3 linked regions of the Drosophila melanogaster genome follow. The protein of the gene in region 1 interacts with the protein of each later gene in a pairwise test. Each region holds a gene or a part of one and is shown in the gene's direction. Other genes may lie near its edges.

Evidence for each region. The genes of interacting proteins can lie anywhere in the genome.
Region 2: the proteins of CG14655 (region 1) and TpnC47D interact in a two-hybrid assay, tested with the Drosophila melanogaster proteins (one large-scale study listed by BioGRID).
Region 3: the proteins of CG14655 (region 1) and CG4622 interact in a two-hybrid assay, tested with the Drosophila melanogaster proteins (one large-scale study listed by BioGRID).

The regions. Positions count from the first base shown.
Region 1 is NT_033777.3:4,776,963-4,781,944, reverse strand, and holds CG14655 (uncharacterized protein), read left to right. Parts: upstream 1-1,642; 5' UTR 1,643-1,870; coding exon 1,871-2,326; intron 2,327-2,825; coding exon 2,826-3,435; intron 3,436-3,605; coding exon 3,606-4,117; 3' UTR 4,118-4,448; downstream 4,449-4,982. Other genes in the region: Ccdc39 (Coiled-coil domain containing protein 39), read left to right, coding at 1-674; atms (antimeros), read right to left, coding at 4,506-4,982.
Region 2 is NT_033778.4:11,273,306-11,276,872, reverse strand, and holds TpnC47D (troponin C at 47D), read left to right. Parts: upstream 1-1,586; 5' UTR 1,587-1,640; coding exon 1,641-1,652; intron 1,653-1,808; coding exon 1,809-1,983; intron 1,984-2,041; coding exon 2,042-2,293; intron 2,294-2,730; coding exon 2,731-2,759; 3' UTR 2,760-3,028; downstream 3,029-3,567.
Region 3 is NT_033778.4:24,553,262-24,558,294, reverse strand, and holds the start of CG4622 (uncharacterized protein), read left to right. Parts: upstream 1-2,011; 5' UTR 2,012-2,148; coding exon of another isoform or gene 2,149-2,290; 5' UTR 2,291-2,352; intron 2,353-2,723; coding exon of another isoform or gene 2,724-2,941; intron 2,942-5,033. Other genes in the region: ITP (Ion transport peptide), read right to left, coding at 2,149-2,290, 2,724-2,941. UniProt on the Drosophila melanogaster protein: Scaffolding subunit of the trimeric nuclear exosome targeting (NEXT) complex, a complex that directs a subset of non-coding short-lived RNAs for exosomal degradation. The RNA exosome is fundamental for the degradation of RNA in eukaryotic nuclei.

The DNA.
Region 1 (4,982 bases):
AGCTGAAGGAACTTGAGGCGGCCTACTGCCGCGAGCTGGAAAAACTGAAGGTTCTCAGGTGCAAGGCACAGCACTACCAGCAGAAGCACGCAGCCCAGCGAGCTGAGGAGGAAGACCTGATTTCCAAAATAGAGAAGGCGAAGGCTAGTCGGGCGGAGCACTCTGCAGTTCTGGAGAAGATCGAGCGCGAACTAGATGACCAGCGAATGAAGCTGGACAGGGCCAATCGAGAGATCCGGACACAGTTGCGGGAGATCAAGGCGCGGCCCTTTAGCGAGGAGTACCTGGCGCAGTTCGAGCGGGATCTGTCTCTACAGGAGCTGGAGGCGCGTAACACCAAGGCGCTGAACATGATCACCGATCTGGCGAACAGCGACGAGAGCGGCACGGATATAATTGGAATCCTCTTGCGAAAAGGAATCAAGTTGCCGATGCACCTGAAGCGCACGTGCAGCCGCGTGTCCTGGAACAGCAGCTCCTCGGGCAAGTCCTCGCAGGGTCAGGACACCGCCTCCTACCTCAATGTTAAGGGCAAGAAGTTCTCCTGCGACGGGGCTAGTGCCCGGTCCTCCGTCTCCGACATGAGCTCCCTTAAGGATGACACATCCTCCACAACCTCCCACTCCGGACTGAGCATCATATCGCTTGAGTTGCCCTTGCCGAAGAAAAAATAATAGTCTAAAATATATTTATTTATTATTCCGTTCGATATCCGATGATCTCAACCCGTATGCTCGTATCTTCACGTGTTGGCATCGCAGTGTTTACAAATTGACCATCTAAACGAAACAGCGAATAAAATGCGTTGCCCAAGCGGGTCAAAACAAGAGAGCATCGCGGCCATAAAAATAGCACACAGCGATTCAGTGGGGGTATAGCTCGGTGCACATACACATAGGCGGACAAATGTGTGTGTCTAGGCGATTGCTTGTTTAAATCGCTGAATAGTAAATACTCTACAAAAGTATTACACAAAATATGTATATTAGCTACCACCTTTGGTGTGGGTTTTGTATTGGTTTTGATCAGATCTCAAGTAAGCTCATTACAGCATTAAGATTTAGACGGATATGCTAATTCAATCTGAAATACTCAATCTTCGTATTTTCCTAATAAAGAAATATATATAATAATAATATTTTCTCAGTTCTTATTTACGAAAATGAAACGAATGATTTTCACTGGTCCGAAACTAAAATCGAAAGAAGAAATCTCCAATAAGAGTACATATTAATGTGTTTACTTTTTATGGAGTGCTTAAAAAATGGAGCGACAATTGCAGTAACCAACCATATTCCAATTGGATATTGGCGGAAAAGCCAATTATTAAACCAATCTGGCGATAATGATAGATCTCTAGATAAGTCCCGCAAATCGCATGTGGTCATCTCAGCGAATTGCTCCTGCGCATCGTGCGTTACAAAGACTAGAACGAAGGCTATATGGCCGCCAGTGCAACATATATCGGCCAGAAATAATTCTACATACATATAGTATATAGCCGTGCTCAGAGCTATATTTCGAAATGAGCTACCCAGAGACACGGAGAAAAGAGACTGCCTTGTTCGAGAGATGGGATTTCGGTGCTGCGAGTGTTTCCGAAAGTCTTCTTGACGATTCGACGATCCGCGCCGGGCATTTCATTATTTTTCATTATTTCGTTAGCTGGCATCGGTGCCGAGAAGTCAGATTGCTGGGCCCAAAGTTTTCAAAAATCTTCACTTGCTGATATTTTTAGAAAATTTTGAAAGCAGAAAGACTAGGCAGTCTGGGAATGGACTCCTGAATAGATGATCACAGACCGAACAGGAGGATAATCCCAATAGGAGGTGAAGCATTTGCATAAGATTCGATTGAGTGCACTGGCGAAATGTGTTCCACCTCGGTGCTGTGTCCGCTCTGCGCGGTGCCCAGTTTCGGCAGTATTGACGCACTGCAGCAGAGGCTGATCAAGGCGGCCAACGGCCCACTGGCCTGTCCCTTTGCCAACTGCAAGGAGCTCTTCCTGGGGCTGGACAAGCTCACCATCCACCTGTTCTCGCACACAAGTCTGATGGCTCAGGAGGGAAACGAGAGTCCAGCGAATGGCCAACCCGCCTCGTCCCGGGGCTTCCTTGCCGCAGCTCCTCCCAAACGGAGGGCCAAGCGAACCAGGTCCAAGCCCGTCGTCCCAACCCCACCGCCTGTGCGGACCACCCCGCCCGCCCACTGCGACATTTGCGAGTTCAGTTTCCGGAATACCGAGCTGAGGGACATGCACGTCCGCTTAGTCCACGAAAATGCGGAGGGAGAACCCAAGCAAAAGGAACCCCAACAGAAGGAACCGGTAACTATTGGCTATGTACATATATTAAGTGCTATTATCTAAAGAGTTTCGTAATGCACTTTCGCATATTCTTATATCGATTTTGATTTTTTTTTTCTATGCTCACTGGCAGCAAAAAAAAATCATACTTAAAAAGCTAGACCATTTACATTGAATCTGAAACAAAAGTTTGACGTAATTAAAATCAACAACAACAAGAAAGAAATCTATATACCCTTATATTTTAAAAACAACTGATGTATGTACGTATATCGTTCCCATTATTTTCAATTAATTTTTCAACTGTTCATATGACTATGTATATATATGATAGATATTAATTTGTTTTTGATCAATTTAAAACCATGGCAACTTTGTGATATAGTGAATGAAAGTGAATGATTTTTGTGCATAAATTTGAAACTGAGAGACAGACGGTAATGTAATGGAATATTTGGCCATGAGGGCATATTGATGAATTGATAAATATAAGTGAAATTCCGATTATTGCTTTATACAGGACCAGGAGCCCTACAAGTGCCATCTCTGCTCCAAGACGTTCCGAATGAAGGGCTCCCTTCGAATCCACCTGAAAGTAGTGCACATGATGGGCGTGCCCTGCTCCAATCCCAATCCAAATCCTAATCCCAGTCCTACACCCGCTTCTACCACCAGTGCAGTTACTGCCACGCCCAAGCTGAGCATTTGCGATCGCATTCGACACACAGAGCCTGGAGCCCTTGGCAACGGAAATAACTCCACGTGCACCGCATCCCAGCCATACGCGCTGAGTGGGGCGCTGAGCATGCTCCAGCAGTCCCCCAGTTCGCCGGAGTCGGGCACGGCCACCCCGAAGCTGTGGGAGTGCGATGTGTGCAGCAAGTCCTTCACCACCAAGTACTTTCTGAAGAAGCACAAGCGGCTCCACACCGGCGAGATGCCGTACACATGCGAGATCTGCGCCAGGACCTTCACCTTCCAGCAGTCGTACCACAAGCATTTGCTCTACCACAGCGAGGTAAAGCCCCATGTCTGCGGGGTTTGTGGACGCGCCTTCAAGGAACTGTCTACGCTGCATAACCACCAGAGGATTCACAGCGGCGAAAAGCCCTTCAAGTGCGAAGTCTGCGGTGAGTATCGATCAAACCCCTTAATTAGCCGCCCCTTATTTTGTTAGCCAGCTTATAAATGAGCATACTCCATTGCGATTTGCCCTATTTACTTTAAATGAAGGAGAGGTATACCTTCTTTTCCGGGTCACTCCATGTCTAACCTTTTCGTATTTCGGACTCGTCCACAGGCAAGTGTTTCCGGCAGCGAGTCTCTTTCCTTGTCCACACGCGCATCCACACGGGAGTGATGCCCTACAAGTGCGAGCTCTGCCAAAAGACGTTCAGGTACAAGGTCAGTCAAAGGACCCATCGATGTCCCACCGAGGAGGCCCAGACACCGGAGCAGCTGATAAAGGCGTTCCTGGAGGGCAACGACTCGCATACTCAGCCTTCACCAGCGAGCGCCGAAATAGCTGCCATCAACAGCAGCTCCATTGTGGATCCTGAGCAGGAGGCACTGCTTTCGCAGTCAATCGACGACATTGTCGTTGAGCAGTGCCAAAAGCTGGGCATCTGTGGTGTGGAGCCGCGGGAGGAGGGACAGCTCATATCCCTACAGCCGGTTGCGGTGGTACACTTCAGCGGGAATGGCTCTCCGCTGCAGCAACTCCAGAACTTGAGAATCTACTCACCGCAACAAACAGAGCTACCTAGTTCCGATGGCGAAGTCTTCCAGCGCTTTTTGATGGACGCCACGTAGTTGGAACGAAGATGCATATATCCACTTAATTTATACCCTTTTATATCATTTTACATTGTTTGCACTTCCCCAAAGGCGATCTAATCAATTCCTAAGCACCCCCTAAGAAAAACGTCTTAATTACATCTTCTTATGAGGATATTATTTGAATCTTAGTTGTTTTATCTCAGCCAAGTGTAAATCGACTAGGACCCGACTTGTTTGCAATACAACAACAACATCTAATATAAATTATGTTAAACTGCCGATTTTATTTAAAACTATTCTGGGCAACGAACCCGAGCGCTGAGTTGAGGCGAAAATGATATTAAATCGAGTTAGTTCAGTTTTCAAATGTACTTGGTTGATTATAAACTTATTTATTATGAACGCCGTTTTTTGTAATTAATCATTCATCTGAGGCGCTTCCAGAGCTGGATCCTGAACCAGAAGGCGAGCCACTGCGAGACCGGCTGGGCGATCGCGACCCAGAGCCAGATCTGGAGCCCGAACGTGATCGGGAACCGGACTTGGATCTCGACCTAGAACGCGACCGAGAGCCGGACTTGGAACGGGATCGGGAACGTGATACCGATCTCGATCTGGATCCGGATTTCTGGGATCCTGCCGGCGAATTTGTGCGTGATCTGGAGCCGCTACCAGACCGAGAACCAGACTTTGAGCGGCTGCTGGCCCGAGAGCCGGAGCCAGATCCAGATCCTGAACTGGACCCGCTGCGAGTTCGACTCCGAGAACGAGACTGTCGATCGCGGGCTACCTGGGCGGGTGAGTCCGCTCCAGATGCTGCCTGTGCGCCAACAGCTGCGTCCTCGCTCGTCTTCTCCGTCTCGCCAATGATTTGCATTTGCTCCTCTTCCCTCACTTC
Region 2 (3,567 bases), on another chromosome or scaffold:
ACTTATATTTTAATAATATAAGTTTGTAACTTAAAATAGAACAGACTGAGATATTTTTTCTTTAAATGAATACAAGGAATCCCATATTATTTCCTCCGTGTAATCACTCAATGAGATTTTTCGGATTCTTTGCGGCGCCAAGGATTCCTTTCTCCCGCTCAGCTGTTGTTCATTACTAATTCCTGGCATTTTGAGATATGTGTGTCGCATATATTACTTGCTAATAAATTAATAAGAGCATAAACAAATGGTCAATATGTCAGAGTGACGTCAACTTTTTGGCGGCTGCTTTGGCTGGCGCTGTCATAATTGGAAAGCAAGATTTGGCTTCCTCGATTTTCCCAATATTCCATAGCCACATAAACAAATACGTTGGCTGGTTTCGAAAATGTGTGCCACACAAACTGCTATTTTATTAAAATTTATAAATCAATTTGCATATCATGGCTGGCATTAAACAAAACGAATAATTAATATTATGGCTGATTTAAATGTGAATATATATGCGCGCGTATGGGAATAGGAAGCTGAATCGCAAAAGACAATATTCGAATCGTTTATAAAAATGTATTAACACATTGCTCGTTTGATATTTCCATGTGCGAGTTGTCGGTGTCTGTGTGTGGAATGATTCCATCCTCTTAATTAATGTCGATTTTTTAATTGCTCGTTAATTTGGCTGAGTTATAAAATGATTTTATGGGCACGTCGTGATTGATTCATAAAGCGTGTCAGCTGGAAAATGTGATCAGATTTGATCTAATTATGAGGGAATATCTGATACTTATTTAAATGAGCACCAATTAAGCGTACACTGGGCGAAATTCAACTGCTGAACTGATACTATAACATCTTTGTCTGGAATTTTGCTGACTCATTTCGTATGGTAATTTGTTAATAAAAGCGAAACCGAAATTCAAAAGCCGTAGAACAGGGTAGGTTTTTAAGTTTCAGCCTGAGTTTGTAGTTATTTAAGTGGCTAAAATCAAAGACCAGTATTACGTCCCAAAAGTATAAAAAGAGATGTTTATTTAAATAAGGTTATTTAAGACTATTTTTTATCGTCATTAAGCGTGTTTAATTTTAACAGATGTTGATAGCGCATTTGGAACTGGTTTATCAACAGCATGATTTACAATAATTCCAGCTGCCATCGAATCTGATAATGATTTTCCCGCAGTGTCGGCTAAAAATAGTCATTGTTAAGCTTAGCAAACCACTACAAAATCGTATTGTAGTGGGTGGATGTGGTTCGGATCGTCTGCTCTTGGTGGTGATGGTGGTGGTGGCATTGGTGGTGCTGCTGCTTTCTGGTGGCCAGGCGCAGTAAATTCGGCAATGCTCAATGGTTTTACAGTGCTTTTCGTATTTTCCTTTTTTTCACTCCACGAAAATTAGAAACACATTTTAAGATTTCCACAGGTTCGTGTGCGCGTTCACTTCTTTTGTTTATTTCGCTTGGTTTTATTTTCGAAATGCTGCTGAAAACCATAAATTAGCTTGTTACTTTTGGAATGCCTGGCGTTGTGTGTGGGTGTTTCTGGGGTTTCTGGGGATCTCAAGAGCTCAATGAAGAAGTGGGGAACTGATTCAGTCGTTAGCGGTGATCGATCTGGTGAACAACTAGCACAGGATTTAAAATGGATAACATTGTGAGTGCCACTGGATTATAGAAACCCCTAGGGGTAACACCTTGCACTTGAAAGCAGTGTTAAGGAATAGAGAAATGTCGTTTCTCATCAATTTAAAGATTTTTACCGAATTACAAACGAAGTAATGTATGGAAATTCATGGAACTTTCTTCTCAGGACGAAGACCTGACCCCCGAGCAGATTGCCGTTCTGCAGAAGGCATTCAACAGCTTCGACCACCAGAAGACCGGCAGTATCCCCACCGAAATGGTGGCCGATATCCTCCGTCTTATGGGTCAGCCCTTCGACAGGCAGATCCTTGACGAGCTGATCGACGAGGTCGATGAGGACAGTAAGTGTTCGCAGCCTATATTGCCGGGTGCCCAAACTAATCCTCGATTCTTCTGCAGAATCCGGTCGCCTGGAGTTCGAGGAGTTCGTCCAGCTGGCTGCCAAGTTCATCGTAGAGGAGGATGATGAGGCCATGCAGAAGGAGCTGCGCGAGGCTTTCCGTCTGTACGACAAGCAGGGCAATGGCTACATTCCCACCTCCTGCCTGAAGGAGATCCTCAAGGAACTGGACGACCAGCTGACCGAACAGGAGCTCGACATCATGATTGAGGAAATCGATTCCGACGGCTCTGGCACCGTTGATTTTGATGGTAAGTGCGCGGACCAATTAGCCGCCGTCAGTCGGGCTATAAAGATCTTGGATTCCTTGGCGCGCTGCCATGGTATTTTCCACACAAATTATATCAATTTGTTGCGGTGGAGAACCCCTACCCCTCCCCACTAACACCACCATCCCACCAACGAGGGGAGACGCCCTTGTGGTGCTTTATTTATAGTTCTTTAGATCTTTACACAGAAACAAGCAGATCACTTTGCCCCAGATTCTAAGGGGCATTTCACTATTCCTAAAACAAAATCCGTCCATATTTTCCGCCTTTTATAATTGTTCCGATTGGTGTACCAGTTTAAAAAGAAACAAATTTGTATTATGAGGTTTTGGTCCAATTTCCACTTGTATTAGTACACAAACCATATTTTAGTTATCAACAATAATAATAATTAATATTATTTTGTATTTAATTTCCAGAATTCATGGAGATGATGACTGGCGAGTAAGCATTGTGGACCCAACGTATCTCATAATTGTCTACCCCCCAACACCCGAGGCTTGAATAAACGTTTTGTATTTTATTTCTACGATTGAGTAATCATAATTACGCTATAAATAATCCGCTCGTTCAGGAACCGATTGAGTAGAAAAACCCAAAGCGCGGCAAACATTCTATGGCTGCAGTGCATCTGCATCCGAGTTGAGTCATCTTAATTGCCAATTGCCACCCTCTGGCGTGCGGATTATTATTAAATTTCAATGTTTGTGCAATGGGCTGGGAGTGGGCGTGGCCGCTCTGCTCATTTGTGTGTTAATTTGGCAAGGCCATTCGGCGTATGAGTGATGCATGTTGCGCATACGCAACGTGGCCAGATGCATGCGGAGTTCTTTGTTTCAATCTTTCCGCTATTACTTGCGGCAGTGCGTGCACATTCCGTTTGCCACTTGACTGGCGTTCTGGTCCGCACAGCTGTGACCATCCCAAGCAGAATAAGGCCCACTGACAACCTGCTAGATTTTTGCCTTTCCAAACAGCCAATGTAGTATATCATAGCTATGCATGCAGGCTGGCAAATGTCAATGAGCATTCTCCTTGTTGCCAAAAGATGTCAAGCATTTACGCTAAACTTGGCCGCCGCGACATGCAGTGAGTTTGTTTTCCCAAATTCAGCGAAAAGAAGCAACTGCCCTTTCTGAAAAGTTAGCGAAAAAAAAGGAGAAGGGGCTTGGGGCAGATCGATGTGGATGGGTTGGGGTTTGGATGTTGCCACCAAGTGGAGCAACTTGTTTTGCGCAATGCTTAGTCTTTCGGCC
Region 3 (5,033 bases), on another chromosome or scaffold:
GGTACACATTCCTCGGGTCGATCGTTTCCTGGTTGCCATAGTTTCGTGCCGTGTTCTGCCACAGTTATCAATAATAATAGTTTTAGTTAATAGTTCATAGAATTAAGTAGCTGCTCGTGCCAGTGACGGTGCCAGAAAATCCCAGAGAATCGCACTTTACTTGCGACCCAGGGTATCGCGCCATTCGTTATACTTGTCCATCTCCTCGTGCAGCTGAAGAGCCTCTATGCAGGCGTTGAAGAAGGGCGATCCGAAGCATTCTTGCCTGTGTTCAAAAACAAAAGGAGGAGGAGGAATTAGGAAACCTGATTTTTTTTAATTTGGTGTATAGCTTGCTCAGAAGAAAAAAGAGCCAAAGTTCAAAAGCCATATTCAGGTATGGTTGAATATATCACAAAAATTATTGTTCTCAAAATCTTGTTCTGTTTGTTTGCTCAAAAAATACGAGCTCAACAGTTCGAGGATTATTGAGGAATTTAACAAAAAGTAAAGCATAGTTGGTCAAATTTTTAGCTTGAGTGCTAGTTAAAAGCCAAGAATGCACAAGGTCAAAAATCAAATAATTAATTAAAAACAAAAGAAAATTATAACGTACCAAAACAAAAACGGTAAGCAGGCGTTTTTAGTCGCGCCAGAAACGCGCGCAAATCGCCAGCTGCAGTCTGTCTGTCTCTGTCGCCTTCTGTATGGCGGTCTCTTTCTCTGGCGGTGTCCTGCGTCGCGCATTCGCATTCTAATTCTCATTTATCACAATTTTGATGCTCTCAAATAGCCAGCGAATGATTGATTATCCTTTATTAATTTACAGGGTTTTATTAATTATGTATTATTTATTGCCACATTTGTAATGCAGTCGTTCCGTTCTTCGCGTGTTTTTACCAGGTTTTTGTTTGTGTCTTGCACAAATTGCGATCTTGCGTTTCTCTCTAATATTTAGCATGTGTGTAGGGTACTCGTATTCGGATATATGTAAGGCTTTAGCTTTAGATAGGTATGCATATACTATATACTATATAGGTAAATACATATCTCCGTTTTGCGCCAACAGATTTACACTAATTCAGGGTTTCATCTTTACAAAATAGCACAAAATTGTAAGTGTAATACATTTGCAAAATACTTTCGGTCTCGATTGCGGTGTATATATGTGTGTGTGTGAGTGTGTGTGTATGTGTGTATGTGTGTATGTGTGTGTTCGTATGGGTTTATCTTTATCATTGTAGTTTTGCCCTTGCGGAAAATCGTGTAAAATGTAAACTCTAAATGCTGATTTTACAGTAGAATACAGATACAAAAATAAAAGTTATCATTTTACATTACATAGATTAAAAACAATGGATTTCGTTTTGTTTATTTTATATACAAACCGCATAACGCAATAATAATAAAACAAGCTAAGAATACTTAAAAATAAATACTTCGGCTTCTATGTATATGTGGGGAGTGCGAGATCTGCGATCCTCCTCCTGCACATCATCATCATCATCATCTGATCATCATCATCGCCCATCTCCCACTCCCCAATTATGTTACTTACAACAAACGCATAACGTTCTCAATAAATTAATAAAAATAATTCGTTTTTAAAAAAACACATATAGTAAAAACTGTAAGGCATACAGTAATAAATAAGTACGAATTAAATTTGGGCGTTTTAATATTTTAGATTTCTGTGTTCTGGCTCTGCATGTGTGGTCGTAGTGGGACTGTTTCTCGATCTGGATCTGGATCTATATCTGGATGCGGATGCTCGTTCCAACCCACGATATTCGCACCGATTCTCAGCTGTGTGTGGTGTGTGTTGTTTGTTGTGTGCTGTATGGTGTATGGTGTGTTGGGGCTGTGGGTGTGTGGGGCGGGGACTTAGAGTTATGTTTGCGGCCCCATGTTGAAGGATATGGGCGAGCCGTTCACTACTCTCAGAAAGTGCTGTAGGTTGGATATTTCCTCTTCGGGTATTAACAGCACTTTCAGGCATTCGCCAAACCATTTTGAATCAAAGCAGTCTTTCCTAAAATTGAAAACGAAAATCAAAATGAAACACAACGGTAAAGGTAACTGAAGGCAGTAAGAAATCAGGAAAATGAAGTCGTTGCGGAAACGAAAGCGGAAACGGAAGTGGAAACGAAAGTGGTCGAAGTTAGGAGTCTAGTGGTAGATGGGCTTGTGAAACGGATAGGGTGATCCGTTGATCACTTTCAGATAGTGCTGCAGCTGCGATATCTCTTCATCGTCGATCAGCAGCACCTTTAGGCAATCCCCGAAGGTCTCGTGGACGAAACAATTGGCCCTGCATCGAATAGACAAGAAACACAGATGTAGGACTCGCACAGAGGGAAGTCAAACGAAAAGGTGATAAACTTATTACTACAATATTTAAGTGACTATAGGGTGAAACAAAAAGAGAGAGAGAGAGATATAGACCAAATGGAAGAAACCAAATAGGCAGCGGTCTCTGTGCGAGAAAGTCGAGGAGAAAGTAGCGGGGAAAGCGGGCCCATAAAGTTCAGAAACAACCGAAGGTCCCGCGATCATTTTCCGATACCCCGACAATTGTATTTGTGTCAGGGTCTGCCAGCACTTAAGATCATAATTAGTGTTTCTTGGACGGCCTTGCCTTGAACGCTGTAAGGAACACTGATGCTGCTTTGTGGTTTTGTTAGATATTTGTATGTATGTATGTGTACGTATGGCTGGGGCTGTGGGACCCTAGGGAAACTTACTTGCATAATCGGTGTATACTCGTCTCGCGGAACAACTGGTAGCAGTCCTCGCAGATGCGGTCCAGTCGGAAGAACATGGTCTTGTTGAAGATGCCCTTGCACTCCAGGTCGAAGAAGTTGCTGCGCTTCGACAGATTGTGGTTGTGTGGCAAGGCGGCGAAGATTGGTATCAGGACAAGAAACAGCACCACCGAGATCTTTATGTTGCGGGAACACATCTGCAAAAGTGTGGGAAACCGGAAACACGGTTAAGAATAGATGCCTATTTATAGGTGCGATCAGATTAATTAACTGCCCGGACCACCTCTCTGGCCAAGCAGATGTGGGCCAACCCAGCACGATGTCGGCCCAGCTCCACGCCGCCGCCAAAGGACAGGGGCAAGGGCAGCTCTCGCCCAGGTGGCATCGATCTGCTGCTCGATCCGCATCGCGGATGGGCAGGAGGACGGCGGAGACCCTATAAATAGACCTCGTCCGACAGCCGTCTACCGACTGGCTAAAAATAGGGCCCCCATCCCCATCCCCATGTCCATGCCCATGCCATTCTCCACCCAAAGGTGCAATTGCAATAGTGGCAACAGTTGCAGTCGGTGCCGCAGACGATCTTATCGCAGGAGCGCTCTATAAATAGCACCGGCGATTTCAATGTTTATTGCATTATTTGCCATCTGTCGGCGGGCTTAATTTATGATGTAAGTCCGCCCCGCCCCGCCCTCGTCTTTGGCGGCTCAAAGGAGAGCCAATTTGCGAACGGACGCAGACGCGGACGGGCCCCCAAAACATGGGCATTTGTTTACTTTGCATATTTTATCAATTTGCGCGCCCGCCGGGAATTACAGCGATGACAGCGATATATATATGAATATATATATATATATATCTATGCACTCGCATTTGTGGCATTCCGAACTATTGAATAATTTGATTAACAGCGCGCTTTTCGCAAATTTTTCCACTGCGCGCTGTGCCAATTGGCCGTTTGTGTGAACATGTGTGAAATTCCTTCGACCCCGGGTGAAAAATTGAAATGCTGAATGAAAACCAGGCAGACACGACGACGTCGGCTATTTCGAGAGCAATTTCGAGAGTATCAGCAACATGAAAGCGAATTTGTGCCGATAATGATTTAAACACATATAATCGCTAACGAATATACTCGTATTGTTTTAGCGAACGACTCTGAGGATCTGCGCAAATTGATTTTTTATTGCCGTGCTGATGTCTTCAATTAAGTTGAGCACATTTTTTCGCAGATTTATGGCCGCGAGATGGGAAAACACCGAAATGGAAATGGGTATGGGAAGGGGAATGGGGCATTTGGGGGGACTGCCAATTGGAATCGGAATTCTGAGAAAGTTCATCAGTCGGTCGCCGAAATATTCATATATTTATATGAATACTATGAATACTATTCGCGATAAGTGAGGCTTCTCGCTTAAAAGTATGCTCCACCAAGGGGTCTTTATTTGATATATTTTTGGTTGATGATATCAAGGGCTCGCTCATGTGTCGTCATACTTAATTACTGCGGTCTCGTGTGACAAAACAAATGTTTTTAAGCAATCACATATTTTTGTAGTGAATATAAATAACTCATCCCAGGCCATCGGTCGTCATTGTTTAGTACTTAGTGTCGAAAGTATATATAAATCAAGAGTAATACATCCATCTGTCGTCATAGTCAATTGCTCGCTGTACTATCGCCAACTATTGTAACATTATGACTTCAACTTGCTGGAAGGTAGAATAAGCTCCAGACAAATGAACCCTACTATCCCTACCTGCGAGTGGTGGGCACAAAGAGTGCAAGTTGTGGTCGGGTGGGGAACCCTTTGCACTCAATGCACATGTAGCACTCGTTTAGTCAGAGATCCCGACGACGTTTCAGTGCAAAGTGCAACAGCTTGCGTACGGCGACTCAGCTCGGCTCGATTTCCCCGATGGATTCGGATTCGGATTCGGATTTGGATTTGGCTGCTGGCTGTGGGCTGAGCATCTGGTGATAATTGGCTTCGAGTTGCACGATTTATGGCATCATCGTCGCTGCAGGCGGCTATTTTTAACGCTCTTTGCCGGCGTGAGTGCCATAATTGATATGCGAACCGCGTTGAAGATAATGTAACATGGACCGCGAAAAGGGGCTTCAGTATCGCAGAAGAAGGCGAGGGAAAGTTGGAGGAGCGGTTGAATGGATGATCCGGGGCGACTGGGCCGATCGATCGAATGGCGTCATCGTCGCAGGAAGGAGCCAATGAACGGCGTCATATTTGATCGATCTCCGATCTGAAGTGCTGCTCATATAGCTGCTCC